Linked DNA regions of Macaca fascicularis. The protein of the gene in region 2 purifies or fractionates together with the protein of the main gene of each other region. This does not show direct contact. Links are inferred from orthologs where the notes say so. Each region holds a gene or a part of one and is shown on either strand. Other genes may lie near its edges.

Evidence for each region.
Region 1: the proteins of SRPK1 (region 2) and HNRNPC fractionate together in Homo sapiens (co-fractionation; 3 studies listed by BioGRID and IntAct, with this or other methods). This does not show direct contact. The link is inferred for Macaca fascicularis from reciprocal best matches to the Homo sapiens genes SRPK1 and HNRNPC.

What each region holds. Positions count from the first base shown.
Region 1 is NC_088381.1:88,872,741-88,876,391, forward strand, and holds the end of HNRNPC (heterogeneous nuclear ribonucleoproteins C1/C2), read right to left. Parts: intron 2,932-3,651; coding exon 2,818-2,931; intron 2,577-2,817; coding exon 2,416-2,576; intron 2,317-2,415; coding exon 2,233-2,316; 3' UTR 418-2,232; downstream 1-417. UniProt on the Homo sapiens protein: Binds pre-mRNA and nucleates the assembly of 40S hnRNP particles. Interacts with poly-U tracts in the 3'-UTR or 5'-UTR of mRNA and modulates the stability and the level of translation of bound mRNA molecules. Single HNRNPC tetramers bind 230-240 nucleotides.
Region 2 is NC_088378.1:135,750,790-135,754,495, reverse strand, and holds the start of SRPK1 (SRSF protein kinase 1), read right to left. Parts: upstream 2,848-3,706; 5' UTR 2,806-2,847; coding exon 2,204-2,805; intron 1,835-2,203; exon of another isoform or gene 1,770-1,834; intron 1-1,769. UniProt on the Homo sapiens protein: Serine/arginine-rich protein-specific kinase which specifically phosphorylates its substrates at serine residues located in regions rich in arginine/serine dipeptides, known as RS domains and is involved in the phosphorylation of SR splicing factors and the regulation of splicing.

The sequences.
Region 1 (3,651 bases), on a different chromosome or scaffold from region 2:
TCCACAGCTTCATTCAATATCTGCTTTCCTACAGAATTAAATGTATAGTTGGCCCTCCGTGTTCGTGGGTTTTACACATGCAGATTCAGCCAACTATAGATCGAAAATACTAGTAAAGAAAAAAAAATTAAAAAGTAACAATACAAATAAAAGTAGTTACAACTATTTACATACCATTTACATTTTATCAGGTATTTTAATGTAGAGATGATTTAAAGTATACAGGAGAATATGCATAGGTTACATACAAATACTATGCCATTTTATGTAAGGGACTTGAGCATCTGCAGATTGTGGTATTCACAGCTAAATAGACTGCTCTGTGCGGGGAAAGAGGCCCTACAGTGAAGTGAAAAGTAGACACTTGATTGTGGACTAATTTTTCCAGTATTTCCCAAAAACTTACAGCTAACAACATAATATTAAACATGTTTTATTAGCATCTTATACATCTGACACTCTCTCCTAAGCATCCAGTTTATTTTCTAGTCATGGGTTACTTACTAAAAGTCTATGTAACATGAGCTCACATCAGATCAGAAAACATCAAGTGGGTAGTATTTTTGACTGAATTAACATACAAAAGAAATTGCCTATATCATGTATATGGGCTCCAAGGGTAGTTCATAGTTCAGCCTCTTCATTCTTTTCTGCTTTTGTCACCTGATATAGAAAATGATCTATAAAATCCTTATAAATAAGACATGAGTTTCGCCTGTAATGAGTAGGATGAAAAAAGGCCAGTGCTGCATGCTATGAAACAATAGCAACTTTATAGGGGAATCCAAGGTTTGTGTGCACAAAAATTATAAACGCCATTTTCTGCTGTGCTGGAAAAACTGAAGTTTAAAACACAAATCAATTAAGCCTTTCAAGGATGAGGTATCACAACACTGGTAGCTGTTTAATATATTCATTTTAAGTAAGACTGGATGCTAAAAATACAATAACTGTAATTAATAAAGTTGAGGGAAAACACAAAGATCAGCTAATAGGGGTAAAAGATCATTTAGGGTAAAATAAATGTAACATTCTTTATGTTCTCAATCACCTGGGAAGGCAAGACTGTGGAGTATCAGGAAATAAGAGTTTTCTCGTTTTCAGTAACATGGAGATATACACTTCAGAATTCAGAAGGTAACTGAGGCTATAAATAGTAATTAAAAGAACAAAACAGAAGAAAGCAGGGAGTTCCATTGTCCAGCTGTTGCAATTTTCCTGAAATCTTGTTTTTGAGTCTCTCCTATTTAAGGACAAAGCAATTTAGCACACAACAAAAACCTCAAAAAGGGTGCCAGTTGGACCACAAAGCACTGAACTTTCATTAGGATGTAAAAGCCATTTTGAAAAACAATCGCCACTGTATGTCAAGTTATTTGACTCCTCAATGCAACATGCAACTCAATGAAATATAATTTGAGTAGTGTTGTGTTGGTATGTATCATGATTATGACTCCAAGAAAAATGTATCTAGTACATTCTAGAGGTTTTGTGGAGGACGCTGTAAAACAAAGTTTGAAGTAAACAATAATAAAATACAAAAATAAAAAACCAGGGTTTTTTTTCTCCAAATTCCTGGTTTAATAAGGACTTGTTTATTTTGAGGAAAAAAGGTCCCAAACATCAGGCTGTTCACAAAAATAACCCACAGTATCAACTTTAGAAAACAAATCTTAAGACTATAACACTAATTATTTTTCTAGAGGATGCATTTGACATGCCAACTCTCATTCACAAAAATACATTGTTACATTTGTGTTGAACTGCCCCACACAGCACACTAATGTGGGGGTGTAACACACATACTTCTAACTCAAAGCTGCTTTCAGAAGCTACTCAACTAAATGAGATTGCCTTTGCAGTTAGGGAAGCAACTACTGAACTTATGTATGAATGAAAAGAACTGTACTCCCTGCATAACAAGAGATTATTTTGGAGACAGTTGATAAAAACCATACATCCTTTTTATTGTTAAGTCATAAAGAGGTATCAAAATTAAAAGCAAAAATTACAGGGTAAGACTTAACAAAACTACTAGGAGCGTCAAAGGAAGTGAAAATGGGACTAGGCGCGGGGCAATATGAATTAATGAACATGGGAAGGACAAGGATGGGGAGAACAGTGAGCATGTGCTGAAGATACTAGGGGAGAGGATCTGGTGAAAAATTTGATCTTAGACAAGCGCCTAGGTAAAGAAATAATGGGATAAGATTTCTAAACCCCACTATGTGCTTAAGAGTCATCCTCGCCATTGGCGCTGTCTCTGTCATCCTCTCCTTCCTCAGCCTCTTTTTCATCATCCTTGATCAACTCCAGCTGTGAGAAACAGACACAAATAGGATGGAGTTAGAGGCACTCCATGTGTCCCTGAGCCCCCCTCCACCACCTTTTTCTTTCCTTTCCCGTGGTTTTCACCTGGTCATCCCCCCGATCTTCATTATCATCATCATCCAGTAGGTCCCCCTCCTCAGCAGAGTCATCTGCACCCCCCTCAGACTCCATCTTCACATTAGTCTCATCTTTCTTCACGGAGCTGCTGCTCTGCTCCTCTTCTGACTTATCGTTCTTCATCTCTACTGGGGATGAGAAGGACAAGTCTGTCTAGGGGCAGTAATGTCCACAGGATGTAGACAATCCCCACTAAGGATCACAGAACTGCAGCACAAATCTAAATCCTCCCACACAAATACCCTTCCCAATTCACACTCCCCAAGTTTCATATTACATTGCTTTATATTCCACTATTCCAACATATACTTTAAAGTGCCTTACGTAACTAACCCAACTATATACCCAACAAGCAGAAAACCCATTTACCTGCTTGTTTGCTCTGTTCCTTTTCAATTTTTTCCAGGTTTTCCAGGAGAGAATCCACTTTTTGTTTTATCTGGGTCAACTCCTTCTTAATGGCCTGAAGGTCATCTCCTTTCACTTTAACATAAACAAAATAATGGATTAAAATCAAATGTACAGAAGATATGAGTTAGCAAATACACTGGCACTAGACTACATCAGGAGCACCCAGGGAGAAACAGAGCCAGTACAGATTTCCCTGTAATAAAGGCCCTTGGTTCTACTATAAAGCTTATAACTACTTACTGTAATTTTTTTTTTTTTAGTATCTTTTAGACTTGGGTTATCGCTACATTGCCCAGTTCTGAGTGCAGTGACTATTCACAGGTATGATCACAGTGAACTCCTGGCCTCATGCAATCCTCCCACCACAGCCTAGATCCCCAGGGTCTTAGCCTCCCCCTAAGCATCTGGGGCTACAGGCGTAAGTCACTGCATCAGACCTTCTGTTGTTTTACTGCCTTCCATATTTCCAGTTACAGGAGTTCAATACAGAAAAGTTTAAAAATCAATATATTGAACACTATCTGAATTTTAGTTTTTAAATAACCCACAAAAAAACCCTCAGAAACTTAACACACACCTCAACTAAATAAAGTCAAATGACATCTTTCAAATCACCTAGCTGTTGCAGTCTAGAATTGGCCACTCAGTCACAATCTCGTCTCCTCCATTATTTTGGATTTTTAAAATTATTTTTCTTGAGATGGAGTTCGCTCTTATCACCCAGGCTGGAATGCAATGGCACAATCTCGGCTCACTGCAACCTCTGCCTCCTAGGTAAAAGCGATTCTCCTG
Region 2 (3,706 bases):
CTAAGGCAGGCAGATTACCTGAGCTCAGGAGTTTGAGACCAGCCTGGGCAACATGGCAAAACCCTATCTCTACAAAAAATACAAAAATTAACCAGGCGTAGTGGCATACACCTATAGTCCCAGCTACTTGGGGGGCTGAGGCAAGAGAATTGCTTGAATCTAGGAGGTGGAGGTTGCAGTGAGCCGAGATCGCACCACTAAACTGCAGCCTGGGCAACAGAGCGAGAACTTGCCTCAAAAAGAAAAAGAATAAAAAGGTAAATTTAAAACAAAAAAACGCAAAAACGCATTAATTGGAAACAAAACCAAAAATAAAACACCTCTGAAATTACAAGTAAATGGGGCAGTTCATTCACGCATATTTTCAGGAGTCAAAGTTGTTCAAGATAAAATATTCAGTAAAATGACTGCTACGTTATCTATAATCCACACTTGCAAACAATTAACAACACAAATAACTCTAAGTTATCCATAGTAGTGAATGGGGTAACAGATATACATATATTTGGCTTTAGAAATAAAGCATATAGTCTAAATAGATAATCGGAAGTAATAGATATCTGGTGCTTAAAGTATATGATCACCTATATACATTTGCCCCTCAAATTATAGCTTGATTTGGGCTAATCTCAAATTAATTTCCAAGTGGTAAGAGAGATCCGGACAAATGGTCTGAGAGACCAGGATTTCTAAAAAATACAGTAATATAATAAAAACCGCAACTTCCTCGTATCAATAGAAAAGAACGTTTTAACACATTCTTATCAATTCCACAAAGAATAACTCAACTAGGCACAGAAAACTAACATTTCAATTCCTACTGCACACTAGAACCAAGTTAGCACCTTGCTGTTTCTATTAAACAATCTAGGATTAAAAAATGGTTTTGAATAATCCCATATACGGATAATCCAAAGGCAAACAGACACACACAAACTCACCATTTACAAACCTTCGTCACCAAGCACTTACAAAATATATTTCATAAGACGGAATAGAAAATAGAGCAAGAGGTGAGGTCACCTACCACTTTAGTTCTATTGAAAGACAGAAGTCATTAGGTGCTCTCCCCAAACAGTAGGTAGCCTCCAAAAACAACACACACCCCTACGCCCCCCTTAATCTGGTATTGTCATTCAGTGGGGTGACCTAGGAAAGCCTTTGAAATGTGTTGTATCAACTCAGAGGGAATTAGACCGCATACAACGCCAAAAAAATCAAATAAATTTAAAAGTATAAAGATAATACATCTTAAAATTAAGAACTAGGCATAGAATCTCTCTCTGAGAGATGATTTCCAAGAGCTGATTTCCAAGACCCTTTGCAGTTAAACGTTAGTACATGATGAAAGTTCTTTAGGCTTAGCCTCACTTGCTGAATGAAGCCTGCTACCTGAGTTTCTATTAGGCTGTGACCAACTTTTGAACTTGCCACGATAGCACTAAACTACTGTTATGCATCCCACTGATAAAACTGGACATGTGGCGCTTAATACACCAAACCAGAACCATCGATGTGTGTTAAAGAACTCTCCCGTTACTATAGTGATGCCGACTCCGGAAGATTATCTGCATTTGATTGAGGTTTAGACAGAAGAGAAGCAGTTAACAGACACTGACTGTATACACAGCGGTCTGCCGGCACAGTGCAAAAAAGCCGATGTGCCTTGCAGGTTCAGGAAGTTGACTAACCCAAAGAAAAGCCCCATGCCCTCCTCTATGAAAGGGAGTGTGTGGTTGGTAGAACCCAAAGTAAACACGGAAAAACTCATTCAAGAATTTCCTTAAGGCCTACCGTGCAGACGTTGGAGGCAAGTTAAGACGTTGGGGAGCAGGTAAGAGAGAGAGACCAGAGTTCAGAAACAGAACGATAATGATCTACCAGCTCCGGTGGGGGGGGGTCCAAGCTAGGGGAGTTTGTGCCTCCTCTGTGGAGTTGGGGAGGAAAGGTACCGGGCGGGCTCTGGTCCTCCTCCGACAGCCCTTTCCAGCAGGCCTGGGGCTGCTAAGACCCAGGCCTGGCGTTCAGCAACAGCAGCTCTCTTCCACATGGTTGCTGGAGAGCGACCCTCCGAGCTGCCCCGAGGCCATGTGGCTGCGGCCACAGGGTGCCCAAACCCTGTGCACATTCAAGACGCGAAACCAGAGCAGAGAAGGTGCCGGAGGAAAATCCAAAGAATGGGATGTTGGGGTACAAGACTCACTTCCTTTGGGCTTTGTCCTTCTTGGCCTTGGTCCTTTTCTTTCGGGCCTGGAGCGCAAGCACTGCAGGAGAGAGGGATGGATGAAGGGCAAATGTGGAGGAAAGGAGGTGACCAAGGTGAGGGTGGAGACCCAGCAGGGGCGCCAGGCCCGGCTGCGGGGCCTGTCTCAGGGGCGGCTGCGGTACGAGCGCGGAGGCTTCGGCAAGGCGGCCGGCCGGGGGGCTGGCGGCCCACGGGGCACAGAGCAGCGCCCGGGCGGGATGCGCCGGAGGGGTCTCAGGCCGGGTCAGGGGGCGGGCGGGCGGAGGTCTGCCTCGCCCGCCAAGGTCCGGGCCCTGGAGTGGCCCCAAGGCGCAAGCTGGCCTGGCAGGGAACAAGGGGCGGCGACGGCCGGCGCCGGAGGACGCCCGGGCTGAGGGGCGCGGACCCGCAGCCCAGAGGCGGGGGGTGTGGGGCGGCGCCACCTCAGTGGAGGGGCGCCGCAAGCCCGGGGACCGAACCGCGGCAGTTAGGCGAAGCTCCGGGCGCTGACCCGGGCCTCGCCCCGGCGGCCGTTGCCCCTCGTGGCGGAGGCCGCTCCACCGCTCACCTTTCCGCTCCATGGTGAGACCGGTAACCGCCAAGCGCCTGCGCACTCGAGTGGCGGTGACTCCAGCTCCCGCCGCGGCCCAAAACCGAGCCCGCGCACACTCCACCCCCAGTCCCGCCCCGCCCCCGCCCCACCGTGCCGCGCGCATGCGCGTCGGGAGCGGAGCCTACCACCTGCTCCCGAGGAGGGGGCGGCAAGGAGAGGGAGGGGGCGCTGAGAGGAGGAACGTCGGGGGTGAACGTTGAAGGAGTGTTAGAGATCCAAGCTTGGAAACCTGGCAAGGTTAGTTTTGTTCTATTTGCTTAGAAAAGGCGCAGAGAGCGGCAGGGCTCCCTGCATGCTGCTGAGTCAGAGCTTCAGAGGCTTGGGATCTGCCTCAGTTTCCTGGCCTGTAAAATGGATTAATCAGGCATGTCCCAGTTTCTCCTTCCCTGAGCTATTGTGAGCCCAGTTGAGATACTATTTAAAGAAAATGGAAAAAAATTACATGTGAGAAAGAAAAGGGAGTGGGAGCAACACAGAAAGACTGGAAGGAAAGAACCTGTGACCCTATTATCACTTGAAAAGTAAAAACTTCAAAAGTGAATTTTCTCTTGAAATTTCAAGTTTAAATGAAAGCTGTAAAGGAAAGAAAGGGAAATGAGAATAAAAACGTTTAATGTTTTCTTATTCTACCACCTTCAATACATGATAAAGTTGTCTTGTTTATGAGATTTTTTTTTTTTTTTTTTTTTTTTTTTTTTTTTTTACTTTTCTAAGTGCATTATCTCATTTTATGTTTATGGCAACTTAAAGGCAAAATAGTTATTACTTCCATTACACAAAGACACTAAACTTAAGAGGACCTGCCTATATGTTCAGAATCTTGGTGTACGACCCAGTTATTTAATCATCAAGCCCTTATTGTATAGCAG